3 linked regions of the Oryzias latipes genome follow. The protein of the gene in region 3 binds, or shares a complex with, the protein of the main gene of each other region. Links are inferred from orthologs where the notes say so. Each region holds a gene or a part of one and is shown on either strand. Other genes may lie near its edges. The genes, in order: mettl3, wtap and rbm15.

Region 1 (3,493 bases), on a different chromosome or scaffold from region 3:
AATAAAAAGATGAGCGAGAAGAGTAAAAATGTAAAATCTGAATTTTATCCTAGAATTAAAGCAAATTACAAAAAAGCAATAGAAAAAAAAAAAGTTCATCCATAGAATTTAATGAGATGTGTGTCAAAAAGCAATGGCTATATAGTTAGATGAGCTGCTTTTTGTTAGATAAATGGCGCCATCTTCAGGTTGAAATAGGTAGTTTTTTTTTTCTAATATAAATATAAAACAGTGGTTTCTTCTAATTCAGCAACATCAAACCAGAGTGAGCTTTAAGAAGTCGAGGGGTCAAATGTTGGGCTTTGAGGCAGAAATCTCACCGGAAGTGCAGCTTGGTGCACGGCTGAGGAGCGTCCCCGGAGCGGACGCACTCCTCTTTGGTCCCGTGGTTGCAGAACTCTTGGACCTGAGCGCGTCCTCGCGAGCGGAACTTCTCCACGATGGACTGCTCTTTGGCGGTGCTGGCGTTCAGCAGCTCAAGGATTTCTCTGCTCACCTGCACACATGTTCAGAAACATGATGATGATGATGAAAGAGCATTGACCTCCAACCTGGGGTCAAATGACGATCAGCTGAAAGTAAATAAAACACTAGATTGTAAATTACATTAAAAAGAAAATAAAAAAAAGCAAACTTTGAAAAAGAAAATTTGAAACAAAAATAATTCAAACTTGCGGTAAAAGAAATATTGAAAATCAGAAAAACAATTAAGTTTGAAACTTAAGTTAAAACCCCCTTTATGTCTATTGATGTAAATGTGCATCGAACCACTTCTGCTGCAAAATTAACTGAATTTATCATCTACTTGAAAGCAAAAACTCAAGTGGAATTTATTTTTTTCAGTTGCAAATAAATTCGAGTCTGGAGGGGTTAAAAAAGAACAAATCTAAAACTGTTACCAAATGAAAAATTATGTTTTTTTGTCACAGCTGCTGTTTTGTATTTTCAACATTTCTTGGTGTTGAGACCATTTTTATGTGGGAGTGGAGCTTTGTTCACATCGCCCCTGGCAACAAGAGCACTTTCATTGAAAGCTCTGTTTAAACGAGGCTTTTGCATTCAAAGCTCTCACTTTCCAGCGGATCTAAACAAATTTTGAATGCGTGTTGAAAGTTAAACCAGGTTGAACTTCAGTCAGAGACTCGTACTTAGTAGTGACGTATGGATGGTGTTCCTTTTAATTCACAAAAGTGGCAACCATTTGAACATGAATCATGGAGGAGAAATGAAGAATTGTAGTTTGTGAATTCAATGACAGCAAGTTTTTCATCTATGAGAATAGAGTTGCCAAAGATTCAACTGATTTGCACGGCTTTGACATTTCACACCAAGCCTCTTCCAACAGTAGAAAAAGAAAAGAGAGGAAAGGAGAGGAATGTGTAATTTTGAGTTTAAAACTGCTTTTTTTTTTTTTTTTTTTTACTAATTTCCAGTTTGGAATTTCACTTCCCTTTAAACTGACCCTGATTTGACCCCAAACAGACCCCAAAAATGTAAAAAATAATGAAGCAACATTTAGCTTTAAAGCTGGAAGCTTCAATCATAACAAATAAAATAAATATTTTCTAATATTATCTCATTCACAAAAATGTCTCAAAAGGATATTTTACAAGAGTATAAATTAAAAATTTTCTTAACTTTTAGGACGTGAAGTTTATTTTATTAAATATCAAACATACTCGTGGTTTGAGTCCACGCAGTTTTCAAACGTTTTTCCACTTTTTGGCCAGAAAAGACCTAATATTTTTCTCGTCTGCGAGCCACATGTGACCATCAAAAGAGCCATATATGGCTCGCGAGCCATAGGTTCCCGACCCCTGTAATATTTCATCTTCTTTACATTTACCAAACACAGGTCCAATTTTCCTTACGGTTTTGCTGCTCAACATTGTTAATGGTTTTGATAATTGGACAAACTCAACAGCATTTAGTAGAAAAGACTTGGTTGATCTCCAGGTATGAGGTTTACATTCGTTTCTAATGTATCAGTCAATATCACTGAGCAATGCATAATTATGGGTGTAGATTTTGAAGAAAAGAAATGTTTACTAAGCTAAAAATGGTGATACTTATTTCCTCTTGGCAAATTAATCGTTGACTTTTGGATTTTATATTTTCTTCTGTTTAACTTTAATCTTACACACACCAGACACCGTTTTATTTTCTCTGTTTTGATTATCCGTGTTGTACACGAACGTTCCCTTGATGTGTAAAAATACATTGAAATCCCACTTTAGACTCTTAACATTGATTACTTGCTTTCCTCCGTCTTTCTATCTGTGAAAACATCAGGAGTGAGGATTCATTTCCGGCAGAGAAAAACATTGGATCACCTTCTTGCTTTGCTGCTCCTTGGTGGACTGCTGGTTTAACAGGCTCTCGATCTCCATGTCCACGTGAGAAGACTGGCTTTTGTTGCTCCTGCCCTTCTTCTCGGCTCCGCCCCCCGACGCAGAGGAGCCAGTCAGCTGGGAGCAGGAGGCGGGCGTCAGGGAGGAGATGGATGAGCGTGGAGGAGAAGCAGAGCTCTGAAGGGAAGGCGAGAAGCTGCCGGCTCTGCTACTGAAGGCCACGTCTTCTGCTTTCCTCTTGACCGCCGTCCTCTGGGATCCCGCCACGGATCCAATCATGGCCCACAGCTTGGTGTGATCCACTGCCACCACGACGGTGGAGGAGGGAACCGCGGAGGAGGCAGAGACGGACGTGGGCTGTCGGACTTCAATGAGCTCCTGAGCTGAGAACTTTAGCAGGAGGCTCTGGATGCATCCATGACTGGCGGCAGCTTCAGGCTTCAGACAGATAAACAAAGAAATCATAGTGTAGAACGCCGCATCCAACAGGTTCTTCAATGATCCCAGAAAACCACCTTACATTGTTGAGTTCATTACTGATGGCAAGGGAGTCTATAGGCAACGAAAGACTCAGGTCAGACAGATATCCCAGCAGCCTTTTCTCCAGCTCAGGATCCGGTGGTTTTTCTGTCTCCTCCTGAGAGCTGGATGGAGCTGGTGGAGCCGGGCTGTCACTCCTGACTGCAGAGCCATCTGGGACGGTCCCACTGTCTGAGAGACCAAGAAGGACCAACACATTGCATTAGAAAAGAAAAGAAAACGCATAAACACATTTAACAGTCGGACTCCGACTATATTTATATCTATTGTTAAACCATTTCCAGTCGTCTTTTAATTATGATTATGCTGTTTTGGCCAAAAGCCTGTGTTGTTTTTCTAAAGACATTTTTTCTTTAAAACGGCAAGAGTTCATCAGGCTTCGCCTCTGAATTGTGACCCTCTGCTGATATCCCATCACCCTCTATTTACACGCTCTTCTGCTAGCTTAAAGCCCCTCAACACTCCCAGCTTGTATTAGGGGTGAAACAAAAATAGCGAGCAATATCAGAGGTATCCAGCCGTACAGTTTTGAGCTGGATGTCAGCTCAGACGAGGAAAATGAAGACGTTACTGTATCTACTTGTTTGCCAGTGGATGGATCA
Region 2 (4,156 bases), on a different chromosome or scaffold from region 3:
CCGACTTTCCAAGAAACAGTTTGGTGCAGGATTGATGCACAACTGAGAAGGGGGAGAAAAGGCAAAAAACTCAACATCGTTGTGGCAAATAACCTTTTTTTAGCTTGTGATTTTAGCTCAACAAGCCAGTGACATTTACCAACCAATTAAAGTAAGAAATAGAAAACATGAACGAATTTGTACATGCAATAATACTTAAACGCTTACACTATACTAAGAGTTGTTTTCGTTGTACGTCACAAGTTTTTAACTAAGCAGCTAAACCAGATTAGCATTGAAGTTAGCTAACAGTTAGCACAACAAAGCAAACAGTTTTCCACGCTGCTGATACAAGTATTTTCTTTTAGTTTTTGAACTTTACATAAAAATATAACGTAGACACATCTTACCTGCGCATTTGCCAGACTTTGCAAAGCATGTTTGCTTAAAGGTTAGAGAGCCAAGAAAAGTGAAAACAAGGCGGTATTACTGCCCTTGAAATGGGCAATTTCAACTTGACAGCGGAGTCGACCGTACCATTATCAGAATATGGGGATGTTATCGAAAATGGCTTAAATTCATATAAGCTTGAAAGGCAATATATACTATTTTTATATATATTTATAAGATAATAATTATATTTTCGGCAATTCAATTGCAACCAACGTCATCTTTTAAATTTTGAGATTTATTTCTCGGTCTTACCACTTTTCCTTAGCCCTGTCTTTTGGTAGATACCGAAGATTTATTGTAACATGGGGCCACATGTGTGCGAAAAAAATTTTTTTAAGCCCTTTTCGTTTATTGTACTCAAAATTTAATCATATTAAACTATACAATATTTGTAAGGTTGAAAATTTGTAACAACTTTGCGTCACGATTAAAAAATAACTATGTAACCATTGGAATCACGTGGTCTTTGCGTCACTGTGTTGAAATGGATACCAAAGATCGTCTATATCTACAACGAACCACTCTACATAATTTAAATGCGATCTGTTGTGATTGTAAATTTTGTGATCAAAGTAAATCCAGTTTTTTGGTTTGCAATGCAAAAAAGATGAAAAGACGCGTAAGGTTATGTCACATCAGCAAGGAAATAAATTAATTTCCCTTTCTTAGTCATTACAACATTTGAGAATAGTATTGGGTCAACAGCTTTGGATCGTTTTCTTTAGATAAACTAATAATGTAATACATCGCAAACCCAGAAACATTCAAGGAAAAACACAGAACTAAATGCAGTTTTAAATCTTAAAACATTTGATCACAACCATTTTGATTGTCCGGAATTTTAGGATCGGAAAATGTGAGCGTAGTGAGCAGACTTTTCTCTCCTGTCCACTGCTGGTATTACTCCGCAGAAACTCAAGTGCAGTGCAGCACCTCATCCTCCAGAGCCGTCCTGTTCTTCTCTCGGTAAAGGGGATGATTCTGAACACTTAAAGACGAGGCCACAACTTTTAATCAACCACCACTCTTTACGCATTTAAAAACAGTTACAGAGAATCTGTAAACCTCGAAGGTTTTTCGAAACATTGAAGCGAACGGGCCCGGTGAGTGTTATGATCGCGTAGGCCGCGTGACTGCAGCTAAGAGCCCGCTAGTTTCAGGAAAAGAAGCGCAGGGGTGGGAGTCATTTCCTTCACCGCCATTTTGTTATAACAAGAAGCCGAACATAGCTAAGTAATTATACACTTGATGCTTAGATAAACGACACGTTGAAAGATAACATCGCAGGTCTCTAAAATGTGTTTACGTCGCCGAAATGCTAAACGATTATTAGCAGTGAGGGGTTAACCTTGAGTACTTTTTAAAGGAAACCCTCCGCCGCTGACTGCAACAGTCGTTAGTAGTACTCGGCACGACATACCCTATTATCGGGTTATGTTCACTTTAGTTTCGCGGGTTTGTTGAATATAGCAATGGCAGTTCACTGTTGACACTTCAGTTTTGTCGGGAAGGCCCGTTTATAATAATTTTTGAGGGCGTCTGTGATCAAACGTGACGTCTAATATTTAACTGCGTGACGGCCAGCGCGAGGACAGGATGCCCAACAAAAAAAATAACACGTTTTCTGCTTATTTTCATTCCTAGAGAGCACAATGACCAACGAAGAACCTCTGCCCAAGAAGGTGAGTCTGATCCAGATTAAAACTACTCTTTAAGGGTGCTGTTGGTTGGTAATGGATGTCTAAGCAGCTTTTTGTTTATTCTATTTTTATTTTATTTTACAGGTTCGCCTCACTGAATCTGATTTGAAGACCTTGACCAGAGAGGAGCTGTGTACACGGTAAACAACAGCCCCTGTCCCCTCCTGTCTTCTGATGATGTTGAGCTGTTTACATGGATCTCATTCTCCTCAGGTGGAAGCAGCATGAATCATATGTCCAGGTCTTGGAGACTAAATATGCAGAGCTGTGTTGTAAGTTCACTTAAAAAATAGATCTAGCCCGTTGCATCGCAGAGTGTCGGCTGATGAGTTTGTTTCTCTTCCCTCCCATCATCCACCCCCCTCAGCCAACGACGTCCCGGGCCTGAAGGAGTCTGAGGAAAAGCTAAAGCAGCAGCAGCAGGAGTCGGCTCGGAGGGAAAACATCCTGGTCATGCGACTTGCCACCAAGGAGCAGGAGATGCAGGAGTGCACAGTAAGTCTCTCGCTCAGGTTTTTAATATGCAACACTAAAAAGATGAGTTGTTCTAAAGTTGCAGCACCTGGAAGAAATATTTAATGCTTTCTGTATCGTTACAGTATAATTTCTAAACATTTTTCTGCCTTTATTAGATAGAAAGTTTGAAGATAAAATGTTAAAAGCATAAGAATCACTAAAAAAACTTGACAAACCTGAAAGCATCTGTCTTTAGGGGATAAAAACACCAAAATATTAGATTCTTTTTAATTAATATTTCTTTTCAAATTGCCTACAAGGTGGGGGTTGTTTTTTATTTTGGAGTCTATCAATTTACCAAGACACATGTTAAGGATTTATAAATTGCATGAAAGGGAATGTGTGTTAATGAGAACACATCTTGGTTTGTAATCATTCTAGATGAGAACAAGTTGTGGTGGTTTGCAAGCTTTTACATCCAAATATTTAAAGTATTTTCTTTCTTATCACTTTTTAGATGTGGATACTGAATCGCCTGTTTGCTATTTTAAAACGACACTAGAGTGAAAGCAGCTTTTACTTAAAGCCTCGGATGAAAATTGTGTTTTTGACATGTTCTTGTGGGGTTTTTCTAATGGAAGAGGACATATTTAAAGACAGTTAGGCTTAAAGTTGCATTTCTAAGTATTTCTTTATTCAAATCATGAATCAGGAGTGGTTGGTAAAATTCTGCTACATAGGAAAATAGACTGATCTCTGATCTGCTGCATTCTGATCCATCCACTTGTAGGCAGATCCACGTGCGTCTTTGTTTTCCTCGCCTGAGCTGGCATCAGGCTCAGAACTCGTCTGGAAGGCTCCAGTATTGCTCACGATTTTTGTTGCGCTGGTAATGTTAGGTTGAGTCTGTGAAGGGCTGTAAGCTAGCAGGAGAGAGCGATAACAAATGGGTGGAGAAGCAGAGGCAAATTTCTAACGAACAACTGCCTTTCTGCAGAAAATATGTCCTTTAAAATAAAGATATTTTTTACATAATTTTTTTCTACAATTACTTTGTTTTTATATTCTATTTCCTTTTAAGATTACAATGCTATTGTAACACACAAATTTCCCATGTGTGGGATCAATAAAGTGATTCTGATTCTAAAAACAACATAAGCGTAATTACAAGACCACTGGGAAAGTTTTTAAAATCACTCAAAAGAGGATCGAAGTGGGACTTAAAACTAAGCGTCTAGACGCAGATTAGCCTAGATTTTGATCTATTTGAAAGCAGTTTTGTTACATTTTTAAAGGGAAGATGTTTAGGTGTTAAAAGCAGCTTCATAATGTGTGTGACTGGACTCTAACACCTGCCTGTTGCCTCCTACAGACACAGATCCAGTACCTGAAGCAAGTCCAGCAGCCGAGTGCAGCCCAGCTGCGGTCGTCCATGGTGGATCCAGCCATCAACTTGTTTTTCCTCAAAATGAAGGCTGAACTGGAACAGACTAAAGACAAACTGGAGCAGGCCCAAAATGAACTGAGTGCCTGGAAATTTACACCTGATAGGTAAAGACAATCAAAAT
Region 3 (4,144 bases):
CATACAGTAAAACAAAATGAAAAATGAATAAAAATTTTAAATCATACTTCCAGTTTCACTACTTTCTGGACACTTGCAAAGAGGCTTCCGATTTAGAAAATAAATCATATGGAACATGTCCATGTGTTTTTGTTTGTATCTTTTAATATTCAGTTAATATGTTGATATTTGGGTCATTCCAGAACTGGAGGACATTTGGGCTGCAAAATTCATGAAGAGCAAACTTTGACTTTTCTAATTCTCTGCTATATAATCGTCAATAAAAGGTAATATCTGTCAAAGGCTTGATTAACTTTGCTTACAGATCAACTGCGAAATATTTATGACATTATATTGATGATGACAAGACTTGATGCAACCTTGTTATCAATTTTTGCAAGTAACAGGGTTGCAAACATGTATTAATATTGACTTTCTCTCAGGAGTAGACGCTAGTTGTTTAGCTGTCACTGAGTACCAATAAGAAAATTAATGTGATTTCAATGGCATGCCTTTTTGCATTTCTGACCACCCCAGAATGAATGGTGATATCTTGTTTTTCTCAGTTGCTACTTTACATGCTAATTTGATTGCTTACTTACTCATAAAAAAGCAACAACAATAACAATAATTGTCTTACTCTGATTATAGGGAAACAGGGTTGCATGAGGCGGAGTGAGACATTCAATCTAGGATAACTATGTGTTAAAAATAAAAGATCCACGTAACTTTTGCTCTACCCATTCTTTTTGAATACTGTTTGATGATGTCAAGTCCAGCATATCACTCTTTGCTATATTCTAACCCTCTTACCTGTTATGGTAAAAGGAATTGTGTGGATTCGGTGGGAAACACATTGTATTGATCATAAATAATATTTGAAATACTTCTTTTATTTAAAAAAATCCCACGGTTACATAAAACACCAATCAAAACAAGATATACCAAAAACTGAATCTAAAATTTAATTTTAACTGCTTTTATTGAAGATTTAATTTGGACAATGGGGGACGGGACAAGAAAAAATGCATTTTAGGGGGTACATTGAGCTTATTTGGCATTTTTTAAATTATTTTCAGTAATTATTTTCACTTAGTTTTGCATGTGGATTATTTAAAATAGGTTTATTCTGAAATGACCCATTTTTTAATCCATCGCTGTGTGCGTGATTGACGGGATTTTAAAAGGTTTTAACCAATCGCCGCCCCCCAAACACCGGCCAATCAGCGCATGGAGGCGGGTCTTCTCACAAATCTTAACAAAATGGCGACTGTTGTTGTTTTGCCGCAGGGTCGGTAAATAAATTCTTTGAACGTATTGGATATTTTCTACATTATTTTGTGGAAGGAGTGCAGGAAAAAGCCAGTTACCACAAAGAGTTTACTCTTCGTGGGCTGCAATGAAAGGAAAGGAGCGGTCGCCGATTAAAAAACGGTCCCGGGCCTTGGACGACATTCGAGAGAGGGGAGGATGCCACCCGACCAGCAAGAAAATGGGGGCTCTCTCCGTTTCCAGTGGGAGTAATAATGGAAACAGTTCGTCCAAAAGCGACAGCGGCTCAACGAGACGGAGCTTGTTGGGTGAGAAAAGGGACAGAGATTTTGAGGGCCATAGTCGGACTGGAAATAATCACAGCTGTCAGTCTGCTGCTTCCAGCTCCGTGGGTAAAAACCACAACCTGAGCCTGTCGCTAGACCTAGCCTCCCCGCGAGCCTCTTCGCGCGCGGAGCAGCGTGTTCCGCCGCCCAGCACCGAGAGTGAGTACAAAACACTCAAAATCAGCGACCTTGGGAATCAGCTGAGCGAGGAGGATATAGAAGATGGGCTTTTTCATGAATTCAAAAAGTTTGGCGACGTGAGCGTCAAAATTAGTCGCAGCAACGACGAACGGATTGCTTTCGTTAACTTCAGGAAGCCGGAGGACGCCAGGGCTGCTAAACACGCCAGAGGCCGGCTCGTGCTCTACGACCGGCCGCTGAAGATCGAGGCCGTTTACACGAGCAGGAGGAGAAGCCGCTCCCCCGTGGAGAGGGACTTGTACAGCGCAGCACAAAGTCACAGACACTTGCAGAGACCCCTGTCGCCCACCGGCCTGGGTTACAGAGACTACCGGCTGCAGCAGCTGGCTTTGGGACGGCTCCCTCCTCCCCCTCCGCCCCCTCTGCCCAGAGAACTGGACCGGGACAGAGAGTTCGCCCTGTTTGAAGCCAGGGCACGTCCAGCTTTCCTTGCAGAGCGAGCAGCTTTTCGTGAAGAGGATTTAATATCTCCGGAAGACGACCAAAGAGCAAACAGGACTTTGTTTTTAGGCAACTTGGACATAAACATTGCAGAAGCAGACCTCAGGCGGGCTTTCGACAGGTTTGGAGTCATAACAGAGGTGGACATCAAGAGACCATCACGAGGACAGACCAGCACATATGGATTTCTTAAGTTTGAGAACCTTGACATGGCTCATCGTGCTAAGCTTAGCATGTCTGGAAAAATAGTGGGTCGCAACCCTATAAAAATCGGTTACGGAAAAGCAACACCCACGACCCGTTTGTGGGTCGGTGGACTTGGACCGTGGGTTCCTTTAGCTGCCCTGGCCAGAGAATTTGATCGCTTTGGCACTATAAGGACCATTGACTACAGAAAAGGTGACACTTGGGCCTACATCCAGTATGAAAGTTTAGATGCTGCTCAAGCAGCATGGACACACATGAGAGGCTTTCCGCTGGGAGGCCCAGAGAGAAGACTTCGGGTGGATTTCGCAGACACTGAGCACCGGTACCAGCAGCAGTTCTTGCAGCCTCTCCCTATTCCACCGTTTGACATGGTGGCTGACTCGTTTGTCCACCGCGCCACGCCTGAACCTCTGAGAGTCAGAGATCGGACTCCACCTCCACTTCACTTCAGGGACAGAGAACTCTTTCCAGCAACGGAGTGGCCCAACCCGGCCATTCGTGAGCGGGTCCGGGGATCCCCCTTTGAGCCTCTGGAACATTTGGAACGCGACCGGAGAACTCGAGAGCCTTGGTCTTTGGAGCGTGAGCTGCAAGGGCGAGAACCAGGACGTAAGAGACGCTTATTGGAGGATGGCCGTCACCTAGATCACTCTCCTGACAGCACTGAGAGGACAGTGAGACGTAGACGTTCTTCTCCAGATGGCAGTCCTGGGGGCAGCAGCAGAGACGGAGGACGTTTCAGTGACTCTGAGCATCCTGTGCACAGTGAAACGGCCTCACCAGCCAGAGAACATGTCATTAGCCTTGAAAGAGGTGGGGCGGATCGAAGGGTTAAAAGCCAGAGTCTTTCTGAGAAAGGACTCTCATCTGCTGGTGAGCGGAAACGCAAAGCGGGCGACAGTGGCAAAGTGCCTGCCAAGAGAGAACGCTCTGAAAGCAGCTCTAAAGGAGCCCAGCAATCCAAACCTGATGGCACCAAACTCATTGTGGCATGGCGCGGAATGCTGCTCCTGAAGAACAGCAACTTTCCAGCCAGCATGCATCTCCTAGAAGGTGACTACGGCGTCGCCAGCGACCTGCTCATCGACGGCTCAACCGGAAGGCAGGTGAGCGAGCTAAAGATCACGCAGCGTCTCCGTCTGGACCAGCCAAAGCTTGATGAGGTGTCTCGGCGCATCAAAGTCGCCGGTCCAGGCGGCTACGCCATCCTGTTGGCAGTTCCTGGAAGCACAGAGGACTCCTCTTCATCTGATCCTATGGCCTCAACCCAGCGGCCCCTTCGCAACCTGGTGTCCTACCTCAACCAAAAACAAGCAGCTGGGGTCATCAGTCTGCCTGTGGGAGGGAGCAGAGATAAAGACAACACAGGGGTTCTTCATGCTTTCCCCCCCTGTGATTTCTCTCAGCAATTCCTGGATTCCTCTGCAAAAGCTCTGGCAAAAAGCGAAGAAGACTATCTGGTCATGATTGTGGTTCGTGGAGCATCTTAAAAAAAAAAAAAGAGAAAAAGTCACAATGCACTATGTTCAAGTGGAATATAAGAAAAAACAAGTCTGCTGTTTGTCAGTAATTATTGCATGCTGTGTTCTGCATTGTGGGGTACACTAGTATGGTTCTTGAGTGTTTGTAAGGTGCCATGTAATTCACTAAAAAGACATATGGTGCCCTGCAACCAAACTAAAAGGTTCATCTTAAAAATATCAAGTGAGTATTTGAAT

The links.
Region 1: rbm15 (region 3) and mettl3 share a complex: the UniProt entries of both Homo sapiens proteins name them as parts of the WMM complex. The link is inferred for Oryzias latipes from reciprocal best matches to the Homo sapiens genes RBM15 and METTL3.
Region 2: rbm15 (region 3) and wtap share a complex: the UniProt entries of both Homo sapiens proteins name them as parts of the WMM complex. The link is inferred for Oryzias latipes from reciprocal best matches to the Homo sapiens genes RBM15 and WTAP.

Annotation. Positions count from the first base shown.
Region 1 is NC_019876.2:17,633,693-17,637,185, forward strand, and holds part of mettl3 (N6-adenosine-methyltransferase catalytic subunit), read right to left. Parts: intron 3,063-3,493; coding exon 2,872-3,062; intron 2,790-2,871; coding exon 2,334-2,789; intron 497-2,333; coding exon 321-496; intron 1-320. UniProt on the Homo sapiens protein: The METTL3-METTL14 heterodimer forms a N6-methyltransferase complex that methylates adenosine residues at the N(6) position of some RNAs and regulates various processes such as the circadian clock, differentiation of embryonic and hematopoietic stem cells, cortical neurogenesis, response to DNA damage, differentiation of T-cells and primary miRNA processing.
Region 2 is NC_019882.2:7,325,410-7,329,565, reverse strand, and holds the start of wtap (pre-mRNA-splicing regulator WTAP), read left to right. Parts: upstream 1-1,315; 5' UTR 1,316-1,398; exon of another isoform or gene 1,399-1,535; intron 1,536-1,588; exon of another isoform or gene 1,589-1,665; intron 1,666-2,076; 5' UTR 2,077-2,084; coding exon 2,085-2,114; intron 2,115-2,216; coding exon 2,217-2,272; intron 2,273-2,345; coding exon 2,346-2,404; intron 2,405-2,499; coding exon 2,500-2,627; intron 2,628-3,960; coding exon 3,961-4,139; intron 4,140-4,156. Other genes in the region: sod2 (superoxide dismutase [Mn], mitochondrial), read right to left, coding at 1-42, 390-418. UniProt on the Homo sapiens protein: Associated component of the WMM complex, a complex that mediates N6-methyladenosine (m6A) methylation of RNAs, a modification that plays a role in the efficiency of mRNA splicing and RNA processing.
Region 3 is NC_019865.2:10,859,912-10,864,055, forward strand, and holds the start of rbm15 (putative RNA-binding protein 15), read left to right. Parts: upstream 1-1,214; 5' UTR 1,215-1,378; coding exon 1,379-3,916; 3' UTR 3,917-4,144. UniProt on the Homo sapiens protein: RNA-binding protein that acts as a key regulator of N6-methyladenosine (m6A) methylation of RNAs, thereby regulating different processes, such as hematopoietic cell homeostasis, alternative splicing of mRNAs and X chromosome inactivation mediated by Xist RNA.